Lonchura striata: one gene and its partner. The protein of the gene in region 1 purifies or fractionates together with the protein of each later gene. This does not show direct contact. Links are inferred from orthologs where the notes say so. Each region holds a gene or a part of one and is shown in the gene's direction. Other genes may lie near its edges.

Evidence for each region.
Region 2: the proteins of POLR2E (region 1) and MED26 purify together in Homo sapiens (affinity purification with mass spectrometry; 3 studies listed by BioGRID and IntAct, with this or other methods). This does not show direct contact. The link is inferred for Lonchura striata from reciprocal best matches to the Homo sapiens genes POLR2E and MED26.

The regions. Positions count from the first base shown.
Region 1 is NC_134630.1:6,513,738-6,517,484, forward strand, and holds POLR2E (DNA-directed RNA polymerases I, II, and III subunit RPABC1), read left to right. Parts: upstream 1-1,057; 5' UTR 1,058-1,127; coding exon 1,128-1,184; intron 1,185-1,329; coding exon 1,330-1,504; intron 1,505-1,790; coding exon 1,791-1,906; intron 1,907-2,284; coding exon 2,285-2,365; intron 2,366-2,525; coding exon 2,526-2,584; intron 2,585-2,720; coding exon 2,721-2,799; intron 2,800-2,933; coding exon 2,934-2,999; 3' UTR 3,000-3,007; intron 3,008-3,258; exon of another isoform or gene 3,259-3,359; 3' UTR 3,360-3,507; downstream 3,508-3,747. UniProt on the Homo sapiens protein: DNA-dependent RNA polymerase catalyzes the transcription of DNA into RNA using the four ribonucleoside triphosphates as substrates.
Region 2 is NC_134630.1:3,982,991-3,986,737, forward strand, and holds the start of MED26 (mediator of RNA polymerase II transcription subunit 26), read left to right. Parts: upstream 1-773; 5' UTR 774-810; coding exon 811-885; intron 886-3,747. UniProt on the Homo sapiens protein: Component of the Mediator complex, a coactivator involved in the regulated transcription of nearly all RNA polymerase II-dependent genes.

The DNA.
Region 1 (3,747 bases):
TAAACCCCTCTCAGCGTATCGGGCGTGCAAGTCGACAAGCTGAGTGTAGTTTACGGCGGTTTTGCCTCACTTGGAGGCTACGTTGGTGATGATACACACGTCTCCCCTGCAGAGGAGGGGGATGAGCTGCCCTTCCCCGCAGGGCACAGGTCCCTCACCCTCTCAGGAGAGGCGTGCGGGTTACGCAAGAGCCGCTGTGGCTCAACCTCGCCCGGCGCGGCCCCGGCCCCTCCGTCCTACCGATATTTTTCCAAGGACACGTCGTTGCCGTCGATGTCGAGGGCGTGAAAGTCGTAGATAGCCTTGGCCGAGCGCCAGTCATCCGCCTGGGCACACTGCGGGGCGGGCGCGTCACTGCGGAGCTCCGCGCCGGCCCCGCCACCGCCGCTGCCCCCGGGGGACCCTCGGAGCCGAGCCGCGGTCCCGGAACGGGCCGAGCCCCCGCCGCCCGCCCGGGCGGCCCGCGGGAGAGACCCGGGGCCAGCCGCGGTCCCCGGGCGGACCAGCCCCGCTCCCCGGGCGGGCAGAGCCTCGGTACCCGGGCCCGGCCGCTCCCCCGGGCCCGGCCGCTCCCCCGGGCCCCCGCACTCACCATGCTCCGCACCGGTCCCGGTCCCAGCCCTGGTCCCAGCGCCGCTCCCGCCGCCGCCGCCGCCCGCGCGCAGCACAGCACGCCCCGCACCGCGCTGGCCCAGCCCATCCCTCACAAACCCCGCCCCTTTCGGGCATATCAGCCAATCGGCACGCATAGAGGCGGCCTCGGCGGGATGATGGATGGAAAGCTGACCAATAGGAGGGCAGGGCGGGCGGGGTGGCCGCAGGGGTGTTGATCGGGACAGACCACGAGGGCGGGGGGCAAGGACGGAGCAAAGGGCGGGGTGTGGAGCAGGTGCCGCGGCTGCCGGGCGGCGATTCCCTCCCGACCCGGCCGCGGGTTCCGAACAGAGCCGCAGCCACCCAGAGACCCACGCTGAGAGCAGCAGAGAGATTTCTGTTCCCTCCGGAGCCAGCGGAGGGGGGCAGCTGGCGGTGGACTACATCTCCCAGGAGGCGCCGCGGCTGAGGCCCCCCGCGCGCGCGGGGGTAGGCGGCAGCGCGGGCAGCCCGCGGGGGCCTCGGCGGGCAAGATGGACGACGAGGAGGAGACGTACCGGCTGTGGAAGATCCGCAAGACCATCATGCAGGTCCGGGAACGGCGGCGCCGGGAGGGCCCAGCCTGGCGGTGGGGAGTTCCGGCGGCGCTCTGGGGCCGCAGGGTGGAGGTGTGGGACGCGGAGGCCGGTTCGCAGTGCCGGTTCTCGGTTGCTGAGGCCGGCGCTGCTCCCGCAGCTCTGCCACGACCGCGGGTACCTGGTGACCCAGGACGAGCTGGATCAGACGCTGGAGGAGTTCAAGGCGCAGTTCGGCGACAAACCCAGCGAGGGACGTCCCCGTCGCACCGACCTGACCGTGCTGGTGGCTCACAACGATGATCCCACCGACCAGATGTTCGTGTTCTTCCCCGGTGAGCAGCGCCCGCCCGGGCGGGTCCGGTGAGCCCGGGCCTGGCTGAGCCCGCAGGGGAGATTCAGAGCACAGGGGTGACCCGGGTCTGGCTGAGCCCTCAGGGGACATTCAGAGCACAGGGGTGACCCGGGTCTGGCTGAGCCCCCAGGGGAGATTCGGAGCACAGGGGTGACCCGGGTCTGGCTGAGCCCTCAGGGGAGATTCGGAGCACAGGGGTGACCCGGGTCTGGCTGAGCCCTCCTGCCGCGGACTCTTGGTGACCCCGGCTCTGGCTCTTTCCTCAGAGGAGCCCAAGGTGGGCATCAAGACCATCAAGATGTACTGCCAGCGCATGCAGGAGGAGAACATCACCCGGGCACTGATCGTGGTGCAGCAGGGAATGACCCCCTCGGCCAAGCAGGTCTGTGGGGACAGCACCGTGTCCCACTCAGCAGCTGGGAAGGTTTTCCTTGTCTGTTCCTTAGCCTTGCTGCGGGTAAATGAAAGCCCTGAATTGGCCTCCAGAGAAAAGCTTTTGCTGGAACCCGTTGTACTGAGCACAGGTTCTTTTTTAGCACCCAACTGTGTTTATCCAGAGCAGCTGGTCCTGGTGGCAGTGGCACAGCTGAGGGCCCACGGGCAGTCAGGAGGTGGGGGAGGGAAAAAGAGATGTTTCCCTGTTCCAGGAGCTCAGGGGCTTACCCAGGAGCAGCTCTGAGCACTGCCAGAGCCACCTCTGAAAAGTCTTTTTACTGCCAGGGCTGCCCCAGCCACCTCTAAAAGGGCTTTTTCCTTCCAGTCCCTGGTTGACATGGCTCCCAAATACATCCTGGAGCAGTTCCTGCAGCAGGAGCTTCTCATCAACATCACGGAGCACGAGGTGAGCGGTGGGAGGATGGTCCCTCCCTCGTGCTGGCTGCGTTCCTGCTGCTCCCAGACTCCTCCTCCTGCTCCCTGGCTGGGCTGAGGGACACACTTGTCCTTTTCCCCCTCCCAAACACTTGCTGCCTCACCTCACTCAGTCTCTCTGGTGTTTGCAGCTGGTGCCAGAGCACGTGGTTATGACAAAGGAGGAGGTAACGGAGCTGCTGGCCCGATAGTATCCTTTGAGTGTCCCCTTGCTGTCCCTCCATCCTGTGATGAAATTCGGGCTGAAAACCCCTCCTCCTGCCACGGTTCATTTCTGGTTTGTGAGCTGCCAGCAGTCCAGAGCTTCTCCTTGACTCCCAGCACAGCAAGCTGAGGGAGAACCAGCTGCCCAGGATCCAGGCTGGGGACCCCGTGGCCCGGTACTTCGGGATAAAGCGTGGCCAGGTGAGAGGAGCAGGCTGAGGCAGCAGCTTCCTGTGGTGGGACAGGGAGGGGATGATCCTGGAGGGCATTTTGGAGCAGAACAAGTGTCTCCTTCTCCTCCTCCTCCTGTTGTGAGCTCCGTGTCTGCCTTGCAGGTAGTGAAGATCATCAGGCCCAGCGAGACGGCGGGCAGGTACATCACCTACAGACTGGTGCAGTGACACAGTGGGTAAGGATGAGGGGACCCTCAGCTCAGGGGGGCTTTGGGCAGTGCCAGGGATTGTTCCAAGGTCAGTGTGAAGCAGCTGCTTCCAGGGAAATGTCTCAGAGTTTTAAATGGCTCACGGAGGGAGCTGTTGGGGAGAGCAGGGCAAGGCTCCCCTGCCACCTGTGCCTCTGCTCAGGCTGTGCCCGTTGGGATTTGGGGTGTTCAGAGGGACCTGGGGCAGGAGGTGATTCCCATCCCTCCTTCTCTTCCAGGTGTGAGGAGCTGGGTGGCTCCCAGCAGCAGTTCATGGACGCTCGGAGATTCCTGAATTTAGGGAATGCCAAGGAAATCAAATCCTCTTCCCTCTCTGCAGCCCCGTCACTGGGCCTCATTCCACATCTTGGACTTCGTGGTGACCCTTCAGTCCCATCCAGGACTCAGCCATGGGAGGAAATGAGTGGGAAGGGCTTTTCCTTCCCTGTTTTATGGGCTTTTGTTTGAAATAAAGGTTTGTACCCTCAGTGCCGCAGCGTTGCTCAGCCTCTCCCTGTGGCAAAGCCTCGAGACTCTGCAAGTTCCCATCATTTTCATTGCGTTTGGAATCTCTTCCTGCCAGGATTCTGCATCGTGGCTGGGCTCTGCAGAGCCTTTAGGAGCTGCCCTGGGCAGTTTGGAAGCTGCAGTTCAGACTCATCCTCATTCCTTCCCTGATCTCCTGCCCTGTCCCCTGGTTTGGGACCCCGGTGTTCACACGCTGCCAT
Region 2 (3,747 bases), about 2.5 Mb from region 1:
ATGTCCCCCAGAATCGTCGCTGTCCCCGTGTCTCCTGAGGGATCCCTGTTCGCTGTCCCCGTGCCCCCCGTGTCCTCTCAGGGGTCCCTGTTCGCTGTGCCCATGTCCCCTCAGGGGTCCCTGTTCGCTGTGCCCATGTCCTCTCAGGGGTTCCTGTTCGCTGCCCCCATGTCCCCTCAGGGGTCCCTGTTCGCTGTCCCCATGTCCTCTCAGGGGTTCCTGTTCGCTGCCCCCATGTCCCCTCAGGGGTCCCTGTTCGCTGCCCCCATGTCCCCTCAGGGGTCCCTGTTCGCTGTCTCCGTGCCCCCCGTGGGGTCCCTGTTGGCTGCCCCCATATCCCCTCACCAGCCTCTGTTTCCCCCTCTCCCCCGCGTCCCCCTCTTCCCCCCTCACGGCGCCCCAGCCCCGCCCCGCTCCCCCACCGCGCACGCGCGCGCTCCCGCCGCCGCCCGCCCTCCCCCGCGCAGGCGCAGTGCGCGCCCCCGGCGGTGCGGGCGGGCGGGGGCCGGGGCGCGGCGCGCGCACGTCACGGCGTCGGGCGCGTCCCAGGGAGCCGCGCGCGGCGCCGGCCCTGCCCCCAGCGCGCCCCGCGTTCGGCCCGAGCGGAGCGGAGCGGAGCGCTGGGCTCGCCCGCTCCCCCCGGCCCCCCGCGCCGCCCCCGCCCGGCGGGGAGCGAACATGCTCCTCCGGCTCCCCGAGGCCGCCGCCGCCGGCGAGTGAGGAGCCGCCGCCGCCGCCGCCCCGGCCCGGCCCGGCCCCGCCGCCCGCCAGCCCCGGCCGCAGCCGCAGCCGCCCCGCTTCGCCCAGGCAATGACAGCGGCTCCGGCCCCGTCCCCGCAGCAGATCAGGGACCGGCTGCTGCAGGCCATCGACCCGCAGAGCAACGTGAGTACGGGCCCCGCGGGCCCCCGCCGCTCCGGGCCGACCCCCGCCCGGCGCTCCCGCCGCGACGCCCTTCTCCCCCTCCCGGGGCCTCCGGGGCTCCCTCCGGGGCCGCCCCGGCTGCACCGGAGCCTCCGCTGCCGGCGGCGGCGCGGGGCTCCCGGCGCGCCGTCCGCCCGGGGTCCCGCAGCCGGCGGCGCCTCCCGCCCGCGCCCCCCGGGCCGGCAGCGCAGGGCCGCCCCGCTGGGGGCTCCGGGGGCCGCTCCCCGCCCGCCCGGCGCCGCGGCCGCCCCCGCCCCGCCGCCGCTCGGCGCCCCGGGCCCGGCCGGTGCTGCCCGGCCATGCGGCGGGCGGCCCGGCCGCCTCCCCACGCCAGGCCGCGGCTCGGGCGCGGCCTGCAGGGGGCTCTGGGCCGGCCCCGCCGCCGCTCGCCGGGACCTTCCGGGGCGCCCACCTGTTCCTCGGGCCCTGCGGCCGCTCCGGCCGCGGCCGGCGGCACCCCGGGCTGCGGGGACGCCAGGAGGGCTCCGGCCGTGGCTGCGGGGCTCTGGAGCTGCTCCAGCACCGAGCAGCCTCGGTCTTCGCTTTTATCCCTTCCTGCAGCGCCGTAATGAGCTTATGTGCTCCTTGGGATGTGGTGTAAGCACAGAAGTCAGCGTGTATTTTACCTGTAAGTGGCCTTAAGTGGCGGTTATCCAAAGGATCATTTGCTCCTTTTAAGGGTTTTTTGGCTCATCCAAGCAGTTCTCCGCTTAGGTGTTTATTACTGTGAGAGGACTGCAGGGCCCTCAATCTGTCCAATTTTTGAATCTTAGATCAACACTCACCTCCACAGGATGCCAAGGTGGGTCTGGCTTGGCCATCTGCAGTTTGTGGGAGCAGCCTCTGGCTCATCAGGCTGAATGTGTGCGTGTTATTTTAGGGGCTGGGGTGTGTGAAATGGTGCTTTGGTTCTATTAAAGTCGTACCTGCTCCTGTCTGAACAAGTACTTTTTTTGTGATAGACATGCATCAAAGTCCTAAAGTAGCTAATAAAGTTATTGTCATTTGGAACCCTCCCGGAGCCTGTGTCATGGGGACTGAAGAAAAACCACTCCGGCCTTGTCGGTTCTGTAGAGCCCCCTGGGCTGGGCATCTGTGGGGAGCTGCAGTGTTGCACATTGGAGTAACAGTAACAATCGTGGCGGTAATTGTGGGCTGTTAAATGTCAGGGTTGTCTGAGTTTGCAGTACTTTAACGTGGATCTTGCTGAAATGTCAGTTAGTACACTTCATGAATCCTGTGTGCACTGAGCTCTCTGTGGCTGCAGATTGTTCACTCTACGTGAGACTGAGTGTCAACCTACTTTAATAAAATTCTAGCAGATCTGTGGTGTCTTTTGACTTCAGAACTGTCAGCTGCAGTGGTTACCCTAATTCTGGTGTTACTTTGTCAGACACTGTGGCTGTGCAGAACTAAACAGCCAGAAAGTCAATTTGGTGTTGGATACTCTTCCCTTTCTCCACATGCTGATGTTTCAGGATGCTGTTGTGAGAGGACTCCAAATAACCAGGCAGCTCCCTGCAAGGGGAGGCCAGAGCTCCCAACAGGTCAGTAGCCCCTTAAGTTTAGGAGTGATGTATGTTAAATTTTAATTCTACATACTTGATACTTATCCAGGGCAATAATTGGTGGCAGAAAAATCAGCCTATTGTTCCAAAGTGCCTGTAGGCAGGGTCTGTCTTCCAGTTTAACCTTTTCTTGGAGGAGAGCAGAGGTGGTGTAGCTGAGGTTCATTGTGCAGGCTGAGAACTCAGACTCGTGGCTCCAAAGCACATGGAATATGTGGCGGTGTTGGTTGTTCACTACCTGGCACATCACTGGCACAGAGGGAAGAAAAACTTACATTTTGAACACACTTAAAAAACAGATTTTGAGTTTAATCACACTTGGACACCATGGTGAAAGTACAAGAAGCTGCTCTGCTGTTTTCCTGCTGGGAGAGTCAGTGCAGCAATGAGCTTCTGTGCCTGCAGGGACTCATGGAAAGCTCCAGCTACTTTCTGCTGGCTCTTAGAATCTTCTCCTGACAGAACTACTTGTATTCAAACCTACAGCATACATTGTTGTCACTGACTTCCTCATTTACCAAGAAGGTCAAGCTTTGAGGCCTAGATTTAATTCAGACTTTTCAGTGTGTGTGTTTCTGGAGAGGCTGAAAGCTGCACCAGTAGTGTCAGGTGGACAAAACCAGTCCAGTTCTATGGGGCTGAGGAGGGAGGAGATGGTTGGTTCTTCATGGTGCTTTACTGTAGGATCTGTAAATTTAAGCTTCACTTAAATTCCCTGACACATCCCCTAACACAATCTGCCATTGTGGATATTTATTCTTGAGTGGTTACTTGGATCATGGTTGACTCACAGGTCATGCCTTAAATGGGGGGAAAAAAAAAGGACATAAGTTTCTCTACCTCTGTTGGGTTGAACTGGTCAAAATAATTGTTTCCCCAAGCTTGCAGAACCTGCTGGCCTCGGGAAATCATCTCGTGTGCTGATTGTTCATCTCCAGCTGCTCCATAAAGCCCTGCTGACTCGGGAGCAATATTGAATTTACACATGTTTAGCACTTGAACCTCCTCTAGTAATTGCTGCAGAATATATTTATAACTTAGTTTCTCACATTTAGAGGTTACCTGTGTAAATTCTGAACTATTTCAAAGGAGACCTATAAGAAATAAGCTATTTTTAAAGGAACTTACATCATCCTAGAAGCCACCCGGGATGTCTGGTATTGTGTCTTCATTTATTCAGCCTTTTCTCCTCCAGGAAACATATGGGCAAACCACTTCTGCTCCATGACCTAAGCACTGAGTACCAGCATCACTT